Linked DNA regions of Callithrix jacchus. The protein of the gene in region 2 purifies or fractionates together with the protein of the main gene of each other region. This does not show direct contact. Links are inferred from orthologs where the notes say so. Each region holds a gene or a part of one and is shown on either strand. Other genes may lie near its edges.

Evidence for each region.
Region 1: the proteins of EIF4A1 (region 2) and EIF4G3 purify together in Homo sapiens (co-immunoprecipitation; 6 studies listed by BioGRID and IntAct, counting the BioPlex papers as one, with this or other methods). This does not show direct contact. The link is inferred for Callithrix jacchus from reciprocal best matches to the Homo sapiens genes EIF4A1 and EIF4G3.
Region 3: the proteins of EIF4A1 (region 2) and IBTK purify together in Homo sapiens (co-immunoprecipitation; 4 studies listed by BioGRID and IntAct, counting the BioPlex papers as one, with this or other methods). This does not show direct contact. The link is inferred for Callithrix jacchus from reciprocal best matches to the Homo sapiens genes EIF4A1 and IBTK.

Annotation. Positions count from the first base shown.
Region 1 is NC_133508.1:58,037,272-58,041,642, reverse strand, and holds the start of EIF4G3 (eukaryotic translation initiation factor 4 gamma 3), read left to right. Parts: upstream 1-1,468; 5' UTR 1,469-1,490; coding exon 1,491-1,696; intron 1,697-4,371. UniProt on the Homo sapiens protein: Component of the protein complex eIF4F, which is involved in the recognition of the mRNA cap, ATP-dependent unwinding of 5'-terminal secondary structure and recruitment of mRNA to the ribosome. Functional homolog of EIF4G1.
Region 2 is NC_133506.1:74,068,801-74,071,109, forward strand, and holds part of EIF4A1 (eukaryotic initiation factor 4A-I), read left to right. Parts: intron 1-845; coding exon 846-1,014; intron 1,015-1,131; exon of another isoform or gene 1,132-1,272; intron 1,273-1,337; exon of another isoform or gene 1,338-1,367; coding exon 1,368-1,477; exon of another isoform or gene 1,478-1,501; intron 1,502-2,204; coding exon 2,205-2,309. UniProt on the Homo sapiens protein: ATP-dependent RNA helicase which is a subunit of the eIF4F complex involved in cap recognition and is required for mRNA binding to ribosome.
Region 3 is NC_133505.1:87,752,301-87,755,952, reverse strand, and holds part of IBTK (inhibitor of Bruton tyrosine kinase), read left to right. Parts: intron 1-107; coding exon 108-218; intron 219-1,921; coding exon 1,922-2,092; intron 2,093-3,412; coding exon 3,413-3,530; intron 3,531-3,652. UniProt on the Homo sapiens protein: Acts as an inhibitor of BTK tyrosine kinase activity, thereby playing a role in B-cell development. Down-regulates BTK kinase activity, leading to interference with BTK-mediated calcium mobilization and NF-kappa-B-driven transcription.

The DNA.
Region 1 (4,371 bases), on a different chromosome or scaffold from region 2:
TCCACCCACCTAGGCATCCTAAAGTGCTGGGATTACAGGTGTGAGCCTCTGCGCCTGGCGGATGCCTGCCCTTCTTTCCCACTCAATGTTACTATGCTTAAGACAAGGCCCCTGCTGGGGGGTGGGGCTGGGAGTGATCTTGGCAGGTCTAGCTGGGAAGAAAATCCTTATCAACAAATGTCACCCAGCATAGGACACTGGGGAGCTGATCACTGGCTGCTGGTCAAAGGGTGCTCCAGTCCTGGGGAAGGCCTAGGTTAGAATTCATCCGCAGAGTTCAGTTAAGGCTGCTCATTAGATATGGCGGCTCAGATCATGTCCCCAGCCAACTTGGGAGGTGGCAAGGTTCATCCGGACGAAGGTGGCATTTAGATTTGGGCACTGTCCTTTCCCCTGCAGGGTGACCTTGGGCCAGTCACTTTTCCTCTCAGTGTCCTATGGAAATGGGTCTCCTCATTCCATTCACCTCTCAGAGCGTCTGAGGAAGAAGTGTCGACACAATGGGTGTGAAATGCGTGGTTAAGGGCAGGAGGGTAGCATTGGTTATGCGAAGTCCCGGCAGCGGGTCCCTACCCAGCAGGTTCCATTCCGGTTAAGCGGTTCCTTCCCCAGTAACCGGGGTTTCTCGCCTCACCACTGCTTTTCCGTCCCTGCAGGCAGGATCCAGCAAACAGCAGGCTCCATTACCAGGGGCCATTACCATTGTTTTTCGAGGCTGGGCGGTAGGAAAGGACTCTCGCAGGCCAGACCTCGCCTTTGGTCTCTGCCTCTGCCCCGCACCCGCGCGGTAGCAAGCCCGAGAAGCCCCGTCGCCGATCTTTGCCGAGGAAGCGAGTTAGCCACTGAGCGCTCCCGAACGGAGGCCGAAGGCGCACCCGAGTGTCTCCGAAGAACCCCGACCCCTCTCAGTCTCCGGAAAGAACCGAAGAGGCTTCCCACCATCGGCCTCCCGAGCTATTCCGAAAAAGCACGAAGTTTTCCGAGCGGCCGTCCTGCCGGACTGCTGGAGGCGGCCGCAGCGCCATGTTGGATGCTCTGCTCGTTGAGTGAAGAAAATCCGCCGGCATCGCCTGAGCCCCGCTACCGAGAAGGGTGCCGCTTCCCCCGGGGAGGGGGATAAAGATCCCCCGCTGCCGGCCCATGAGGATATTGCCGTGAAAGGTCCGGTCTCTCCGCCTCCTGCCCCCGCCGGGTCCGGCCCCCCCCCTGGGGTCGCGTTGTCACGGAGACCGGCAGCCGGTGGTGCTGGCCCGCGGGGCGGCTGCTGCTGCCGGCGGCGGCGGCGGCGGAGGCGGCGGCGGCGGCGGCGGCGGCGTCGGGCGTGTGTGACCGGCCCCGGCCCCCTCCTCCTCCTCCTCCCAGGCTCCCCCCAGCCCCCAGCTCCCGCCGCCTCCCCGGGTCTGCCCCCATCCCGCCCCCCCGCTGTCCCTGGCCCCTGCACCCCGGCGCGCCCGGTCCTGCTCTGGGGGGGTTGGTGGCTTCGCTTTGCCATGAGTTTACCGCAGAAACCGGCTCTGAAATCAGGCACAGCGACTGCAGCAGGAACCGGACCCGGCACCGGAGCGGCGGCGGCGGCGGCGGCAGCAGTGGTACCGCCTCCTCACCCGGCGGCGGCGGCAGCAGCAGCGGCGGCGGCGGCGGCGGCCCCCCCTCCTCACCCGAACATCAGGGCCCTCCAGACCCAGGCGCCCCAACAGTATCCTTTTCACCTTCCTGTCGGCCCTTCGGTTGTCGTCGTCGCAGCCCAGGGGGACCCCGCAGCCCAGGGGACCTTCCTGCGGACCGCCACAGCCCAGCCAGGAAGGGGGCTGCCGCTCAAGCCCCTCCTGCATTGGGCTTGGCCGGAGCTTTTGGGGTGCCTGGCGGCAGCACTGCAGAGGGAACCTCAGACCTTATGTAGTACTGTGAAAGCTAGCTCCACTTGTCCATGCTTCTGCAGCCCCTTCCTTTTAGAGCTGGGGGACCCTTCACCCCTCCTCCTTCCCTAAGGTACCCTCCCTCCCTTTATTGGGCAGAATTTGCTTGGTGCCTGGGACCAACCCTGCAGGGAAGGCTTTTCTCTGATTATTGTGAGGATTACACCCTCCTACTCCTCACCTCCCCTCGGCGCCCCCTACAGTGGGGCGCAGTGGGCTTTCCTAATTACTATTAGTACATAATAAACTTTATCGGTGAATTTCTTGTTTAAAACTAATCAGCTCGTTTCCGAGGTAAGTTGGATTTTCAGTGTAAGGTGAAAATGTACAGAAAGCAGCCCCTCTGGATAATTTTTTTTAGAAATGGGAGAGTTGTGATGTGGTTTGTGGTAGAACGAGATCTGAGGAAATGTGACGCTGGACGCTTCCCTGTCTTTGACCTTTTTAAAGGAAGAGGAAGTTCACTGACATTACCCATCACCCACAAAAGTGTCACTTCTTGGAAGATTTGTGTTAAGCTGAATATTTTTAATGGGCTTTAATTTACTCTTCATAGGCCTGATGTCTAGAGAGTTGTCAGGGCTTCTGGAGGAAAGTCTAGTATTGAATGTTTCTAATTTCATGTTACTTGCTCGATAGTAGAATTTTGGACAGCTTTGATTGAAAAGACTTGGTCTTTTAGTCAAAAACTAGACGGTGAGGGTAAAACGTTGAATTCATGAATTCCACGGAGATTTAGAAAGGTATTGCGTACCTGAGAATAACATTTCATAATGCATCCCCTCCTCCCTACACCCACTGTATATGTGTAAATCAATAAATAATGATTGGATGTTAGATGTGTTGTGTTTTTGTATTTGTGTCATCGTGTGTTTGACTTGTAGAGATTGTAGGGTGTGTGTTTGAGCAAGTTAGAAGCTAACTGCTGTGAGGTCCCCAGATTATTTCACAGACTGTAGTTTGATTCTTGTCTGTATAGATTACTTTGAGAAGGGAAAACAATCTCCCTTAGAGTCATTTCAGGTCATTGTTTGGTTTCTGTCAAGTGTCGTTTTCTCTGTTCTTTAAATATAGTTCACGTTTTTCAATCCAGGCACCGTGGCGCAGTGCAAAGATGAATTCCATTCCAGTGTGATGTGTGTACTGATTTAATAATGTTTTAATCCTGCATGATTCTGTTCAATTAGGAGTTGCTCACCGATGAGAAAGTGTAATGATAACTTAGTGTTGCTTATAGAAAACATGGTTAGTTTTGGTCAATGTCTCTAGCTGCTTTATGGTGAGGGGAGAAGGGGTAAGGTTGACTGGTTTGCTTACTTCAAGGCAGAGTTCAGTGATGGATCTCTTAAACCTATTTTAATAATTTGTCAGTTTAAATTACTTTCTAATTTCATTTTTTTACCTTGATTGCCTATACTCGGTTAGGACTTTTAAGTTTCTGAATTGTACCACCAAGTAAATTACTCATTACCTGCATCTTTGAGCTGTTTAGGCAATTAAACAGAAATGAAGGGAAACCTATGGTAGGTGTCCTTGATATACAAAGTAGTAAGAACTGCAGTGCTGAATGTGACACTGCTTGGTGAATTTGGTGGCTTTTTGGGACACAAAGAGTTGTGACATAAGTGTTTCAAGTATACTTTTTCTCAGTGCATTTCATAGAAGGACTTATAAAAGCTCTGAGTTGGTTGCAACATACAAGTAGTTACAAAAGCTGAAACTTAGTTTTCTTTTGAATAAAAAGCAGTTGTTAAATAGATAAATTTAAGGGTAATTTCCAGTATAGAGCATTTAAACCTATTTGTAGTAATATGGAATACTTAGTTTTATGTGGCTTTAAGTTTTTAGTTTGCCTCATGCCATTGAAGCTAAAGTTAATCTTCCTCTTGATGTGTTTCACAGCTTTTAATATTTTCTCTTTGCTTTTACACACTGAAAGGTTACAATTGCAAAAATGGAAAATTTTATATGAACAGCAAATGAAGTGTAGGTTGTAGATTTCATCGGAACATATACCAGTGGTGAAGTGTTATCAATTGGTAATGGGATATTGATTTAAAAGGATTGAAATAGAGCAGTTCTACTTTTCTACCCTGAGGGAGTATGGGAGTTTGTATTTGACGCAAGTTGTCATTGTTCAGTAAGTTGATAACATTTAAGCATCTTGGCAGGAGTGCTTAGCTGGAGTTTCACTTTTCATGGCTTGAATATATCTCCAGACACTCAAAATATATGGGTATGGTTGTGTTTGCATTGAATTAATAAGTTCAGTCAGTCACCCGCCCCCCGCCCCCCGCCCCCAGTCTCAGTCTTGTTGCCCAGGCTGGAGTGCAGTGGTGCGATCTCAGCTCACTGCAACCTCTGCCTCCTGGGTTCAAGTGATTCTCATGCCTCAGCCTCTTGAGTAGCTGGGATTACAGGCGTGTGCCACCACTCCCAGGTAATTTTTTGTAGG
Region 2 (2,309 bases):
GGGTCATGCCGAGACAGTAGTCTCAAATAGAGCACTTATTGAGGCTCAGGGCATTAAACGTTCTGTGGCAGATGCAGTGACTATTCTGGGTGTGAATAATGTAAAGTTACAGCAGAGCTCTTGTTCTAAGGCATTTGGGACTCAGTTTTTCTGAGTGAATATGCCTTGTAGCTTGCGTCCTATGGCAGGAGTGCAATAGAACATGGATGTGCTCAACTGTTTTATAAAACCGGTTGCTGGCTGGGCACGGTGTCTCACTCCTATAATCCAAACACTTTGGGAGGCTGAGGCAGGCAGATCACTTGAGGTCAGGAGTTAGACCAGCCTGGCCAACATAGTGAAACACCATCTCTACTAAAAAAATATAAAAATTGGCCAGGCATGGTGATGTTGGCAGGCAGTGGTTATCCCAGCTACTTGGGAGGCTGAAGCAGGAGAATCACTTGAAGCTGGGAGGCAGAGATTGCAGTGAGCCAAGGTTGTGTGCCGTTGCACTCCAAATTGCACACCAACCTGGATGACGAGCAAAACTGTTAGTCAAATTAGCTTTCAGAAAGTTAAGGGTTCTGAATGTCTAGAATAAGACACTGAATTATCTGAGCGGCTTTATTGTGACTCACTGTATACTCAGGAACCAGACTGAGTTGAAATCCTGTCTTGCCACCTATTGACAGCACGATCTTAAGGATTTTAACCTCTGCCAGTTTCTCAGCTGAATGTGAGTTTACTAATAGTGCACACCCCCCAGGGTGGTTGGTTAGGAATAAGTATGTGAAAAACATTGAATGGTGGTGCCTGGCACAGTTGGAGCTAATATATGAGCACCTGTTTTTCTCCGGGCTCAGATACAGAAGGTGGTTATGGCACTAGGAGACTACATGGGTGCCTCCTGTCACGCCTGTATTGGGGGCACCAATGTTCGTGCTGAGGTGCAGAAACTGCAGATGGAAGCTCCCCATATCATCGTGGGAACCCCTGGCCGTGTGTTCGATATGCTTAACCGGAGGTACCTGTGTAAGTAATTGAGTTCAACAGTCCCCTAGGTCACTTCCTCTCATGCATGCTTTCCGCGTCTTTCAGCTTAAGCCAAAGTCATTCCTGAGGATGCTCATTTCCCTTATGGGAAGAGTTGCTCTGTGATGAGGCCCATGCGTGTCATCTGAGTCTGGCTTTCCTGGCAGTGCAGCCCAGGCAGTGTTCTACTTGCCAGGGCTGATGTCTGGCCAGGCAGGAAAGTCCTCGGCAAAGGATCAGTCTTTGTATTCTGAGAGCAGACTACTTGGTCCCTCTGTTATCAGGAAAGTTGGGTACATATATCACACATTTACCTAATTATATGCTGTATATTGGCTTTTTTTATTCTCTAGCTCCCAAATACATCAAAATGTTTGTACTGGACGAAGCTGATGAAATGTTAAGCCGTGGATTCAAGGACCAGATCTATGACATCTTCCAAAAGCTCAACAGCAACACCCAGGTGAGGGCAGTCTTGCTTGAATAGCTGAAAAAAAAAAATAGTTAAGGACAGAGTTTGGCTCTTGTTGGCCAGGCTGGAGTGCTGTGGTAGCTCTGCCCAGCTGATTTTTTGTATTTTTAGTAGAGAGGGTTTCACCATGTTGGTCAGGCTGATCTCAGACTTCTGACTGCTCAGGTATTTGCCCGCCTTGGCCTCCTAAAGTGCTAGGCTTACAGGCATGAACCGCCACACCCAGCAGTGATTATTTTCTAGAAGAAAAATAGCAAGTGCTAGAAGAACCAAATTTTGGATTGCTATCTTGACTTTTTTTTTTTTTTTTTTTGGCACCCACTTCACTTTTTTTTTTTTTTGAGACAGAGTTTTGCTCTTTTTACCCAGGCTGGAGTGCAATGGCGCAATCTTGGCTTGCTGCAACCTCCGCCTCCTGGGTTCAGGCAATTCTGCCTCAGCCTCCCGAGTAGCTGGGATTATAGGCATGCACCACCGTGCCCAGCTAATTTTTTGTATTTTTAGTAGAGACGGGGTTTCACCATGTTGACCAGGATGGGGTCGATTTCTTGACCTCGTGATCCACCTGCCTCGGGCCTCCCAAAGTGCTGGGATTACAAGGTGGCTTGAGCCACCTCGCTCGTCCACCCACTTCAGTTTTAGGTGTGACTAGGGAAGGGAGCAGGCGTCAGAAAGGACACCTAAGAAAGGCTCTAAGGCTGGCCTTTTTCTCCATTAGGTAGTTTTGCTGTCAGCTACAATGCCTTCTGACGTGCTTGAGGTGACCAAGAAGTTCATGAGGGACCCCATTCGGATTCTTGTCAAGAAGGAAGAGTTGACCTTG
Region 3 (3,652 bases), on a different chromosome or scaffold from region 2:
TGTATACATTATCCAGTTTAAAAATTAGCAACATTCTATTTCTTTTTTATAAAATAAAGGATATTTTATTCAGAGGAGTTTAACAATATTCTCTTATTTTCTCTTAGGTGGTGCTTTGTAAATTTCACTCCGTGTTTCTGTCTCAGAAAGGGCAGGTTTATACCTGTGGTCATGGTCCTGGAGGGCGATTAGGACATGGAGATGAACAGACATGCTTGGTAATTGAAATGTCATTACACTGTTTAGGTAACTTTAGAAAAATAGTTACCATAAGCTCAAATGTTGATAACCTAGTTCAGTACCTATCAGAAAATTGGTTCATTAGGTTATTTTAAGATTTTTTTTTGTGGGGACTTTAGGTATACTTATCTATTAAATGGTGCTTTAAAAAGCAGGGAAAGCTACAATGATAATAGCTTCCATTTTTGAGGGTTTATTTTGAGGATTCAGTTAACTACATTTTTTTTCAATTGTAAGCAAGGAATTATACACCAATTGATAATAGATTTAAAATAATCTGTTTCTTGGTATATCATGTTCAAATTAAGGATTTATACACAATGCAGAAGTATCAAAGAAAAATAATACTTTGCTTATAGCAAATACTGAGTCTGGAAGGTATATAAAGTAAGCTTTAAAATGTTTCCAGAGTTGAAATAAAAGAAGGCATACTAGTCCGGGCCTGTGGCTCACACCTGTAATCCTAGCACTTTGGGAGGCCGAGGCGAGTGGATCACCTGAGGTTGGGAGTTTGAGACCAGCCTGACCAACATGGAGAAACCCCGTCTCTGGTAAAAATACAAAATTAGCTGGGTGTGGTGGCGCATGCCTGTAAATCCCAGATACTCGGGAGGCTGAGGCAGGAGAATCGCTTGAACCCTGGAGGCAGAGGTTGCGGTGAGCAGAGATTGTGCCACTGGACTCCAGCCTGGGCAACAAGAGTGAAACTCCATCTCAAAAACAAAAAAAAAAAAAAAAAAAAAGGAAAGCAGGCAGACTAATTGTAAAATGCTTTTCCTGAAGTAGTTCTGGTTTATGTTTTTAACTTCTCATTAAGATTTCTGTGGCCTTAAAATTGAGCCAGTATTTGCATTGTATGGTCACAAAGTTGATATTTATGCTTCTGAAACTTAGTGCTAATTAGAAGAAATCTATTTCATTACCTCTCAGAAAATTGGTTCACTAGGTTATTTTAAGTTTTTTTCTTTTTTTTGTGGGGACTTCTGGTATACTTATCTATTAAATTGTACTTTAAAAAGGTGGGATAATAGCTTCCATTTTTGAGGGTTTATTTTGTTCCAGGCATTGTTTATGCTTTTCATACATAATTTCTACATTAACTTAAGCCTCACAACAGCCCTGTGAGGCACAGGTATTATTTACATTTAATGCAGGACGATGGTACTAGTAATAGCAATCATGTTTTCAGATAAGGAAAATGAGGTATATAGAGGTTAAAAAATTTGGTTGAGATCAAATAGGTAGTAAGTGACAGCAATAAGATTTGAACCCAGGATAGATAAATGACTCCAAAGGAATCTGGTATTATATGTTTGGCTACTCCGTGAAGGGAAGCATTGATTCTGTGTTTTTGTTTTTTTCAATATACCAGTGAATACTTTGATGAGCTGCCTTTATTCATACCAAACAAATTTGTACTTGTTATATGGTGAGGGCTCAAAAATCATTTGTTGAATTGAATTATTTCACTGAAATGTTTTACTGGGCTTTTCTATTTTGTTCATAAACTTGCAACCATATCCTTTTAAACTCATCTTCTCTATGCTGAAATGTAGAATTTACCTATGATAGATATAACTATGTATCAGTCATGTCATTTTGGATGTAGTATCATCAAATTCTATTTGCATATCTCTATAAATGGTTAATGCAGTGTACTAAAGTTAATTTTATTTTGTAGGTCCCTCGATTTGTGGAAGGGCTGAGTGGTCATAATTGTTCCCAAGTGGCAGCTGCTAAGGATCATACTGTTGTATTAACTGAAGATGGATGTGTTTATACATTTGGCCTAAATATTTTTCATCAATTAGGAATTATTCCTCCTCCTTCCAGTTGTAATGTACCTAGACAGGTAAACTTGACTCTTAAATAATAAAGGCTTTACATTTGCAATAAAACCTGTATGGACAAAAAAAAAAACGTAAGTTATCGACAGAGCAACTTATTTCTGTTATTTAACTTTATCTTCAATGGTATATATTGTCTTTATTATTTATTGTTATTATTATTTTTTTGAGGCAGAGTCCTATTCTGTCACCCAGGCTGGAGTGCAGTGGTGTGATCTCGGCTGACTGCAACCGCTGCCTCTTGGTTTCTCTTGCCTTAGCCACCCGAATAGCTGAATAGCTGGAATTACAGGTGCACACCCCCGTTCCCAGCTAGTTTTTTTTTATATTTTTAGTACAGACACGGTTTCACCATGTTGGCCAGGCTGATCTCAAACTTCCGACCTCAGGTGATCCTCCTGCCTTGGCCTCCCAAAGTGCTGGGATAACAGGCGTGAGCCACTGTGCCCAGCCTGTTATCTTTATTTTTAACAGGAGAAATTAAGCATAGTAAATATTAGCATTTGTTTGGAGTAAGAAAGAAAGCACTTGGGAAATTCAGCACTTGGGAGATTAGCCACCAACTGTCTCTTTTGAGGATTTATAAGCAAAGGGAGGTCCAGATATTTTGGGTTTGAAACTTAAAACACTTTTTAGGCCATCCTTAAGAAAAAATCTGAAATTTATCCATGCAAAATGGGCTCATGCAAGTGAGGAACCCAGAGTCTTAAGTTTTATTTACATCATTAAATCTGCCCCTGCACAGGTAACACATGTGACAAGTTGATATGAGGGGACATGGGTCCAAAAACCGGTGTTCTTTATTCTACTTCCTTACTCTCATGTGTACAGCCTTCTCCAGAAGGTACACAGTGGTGCATAGGACAATCTCATGCCCAAAAGTCATCTAGCCCAAAATGTCAATAATGCCACTGTTTAGAGACCATGGAAATATCAAATTTAAAAGCACTGTGTTTTCTATTAAGAATGAAACTGGCTGTTTTGCATACTACTTGTTAGAAAAAAATATAGCTAAAAGTTAAAAAATTTGATTTTTGTACTGAAATATTTGCTATTAAATTAGAAAATTTCTGTTAAATTAGAAAATAGACATGGTATAAAAATTAGTTAAAACTGCTGACTGATAAGGCTGCATTACAATGTTTTGTGTTCTGAGAAGGGTTCAGTTCTTAGTATAAGTGCTGAGCTCTATTAGTGACAACTTCCATTTGCACTTGAGGGGGCATGAACAGCAACTATACCGTATATTTGCTTGTCTGCTGGATCTTTGAAAAATTGTACTAGATCATAGACATATAGTAAATTGCAGTTTTGTCTTTGAATAGATACAGGCAAAATATCTGAAAGGAAGGACAATCATTGGTGTTGCAGCAGGCAGGTTTCATACAGTCCTGTGGACTAGAGAAGCTGTTTACACTATGGGACTAAATGGTGGACAACTGGGTAAGAAATCCTTGATGATAATATCTGGAAATTAAATTGGACTCTTAAAAATGTTTCCTTTCTAATTTTTATCAGTTAGAATGGGATTATGAATGATTTTTTTGTTTGTTTGTTTGTTTGAG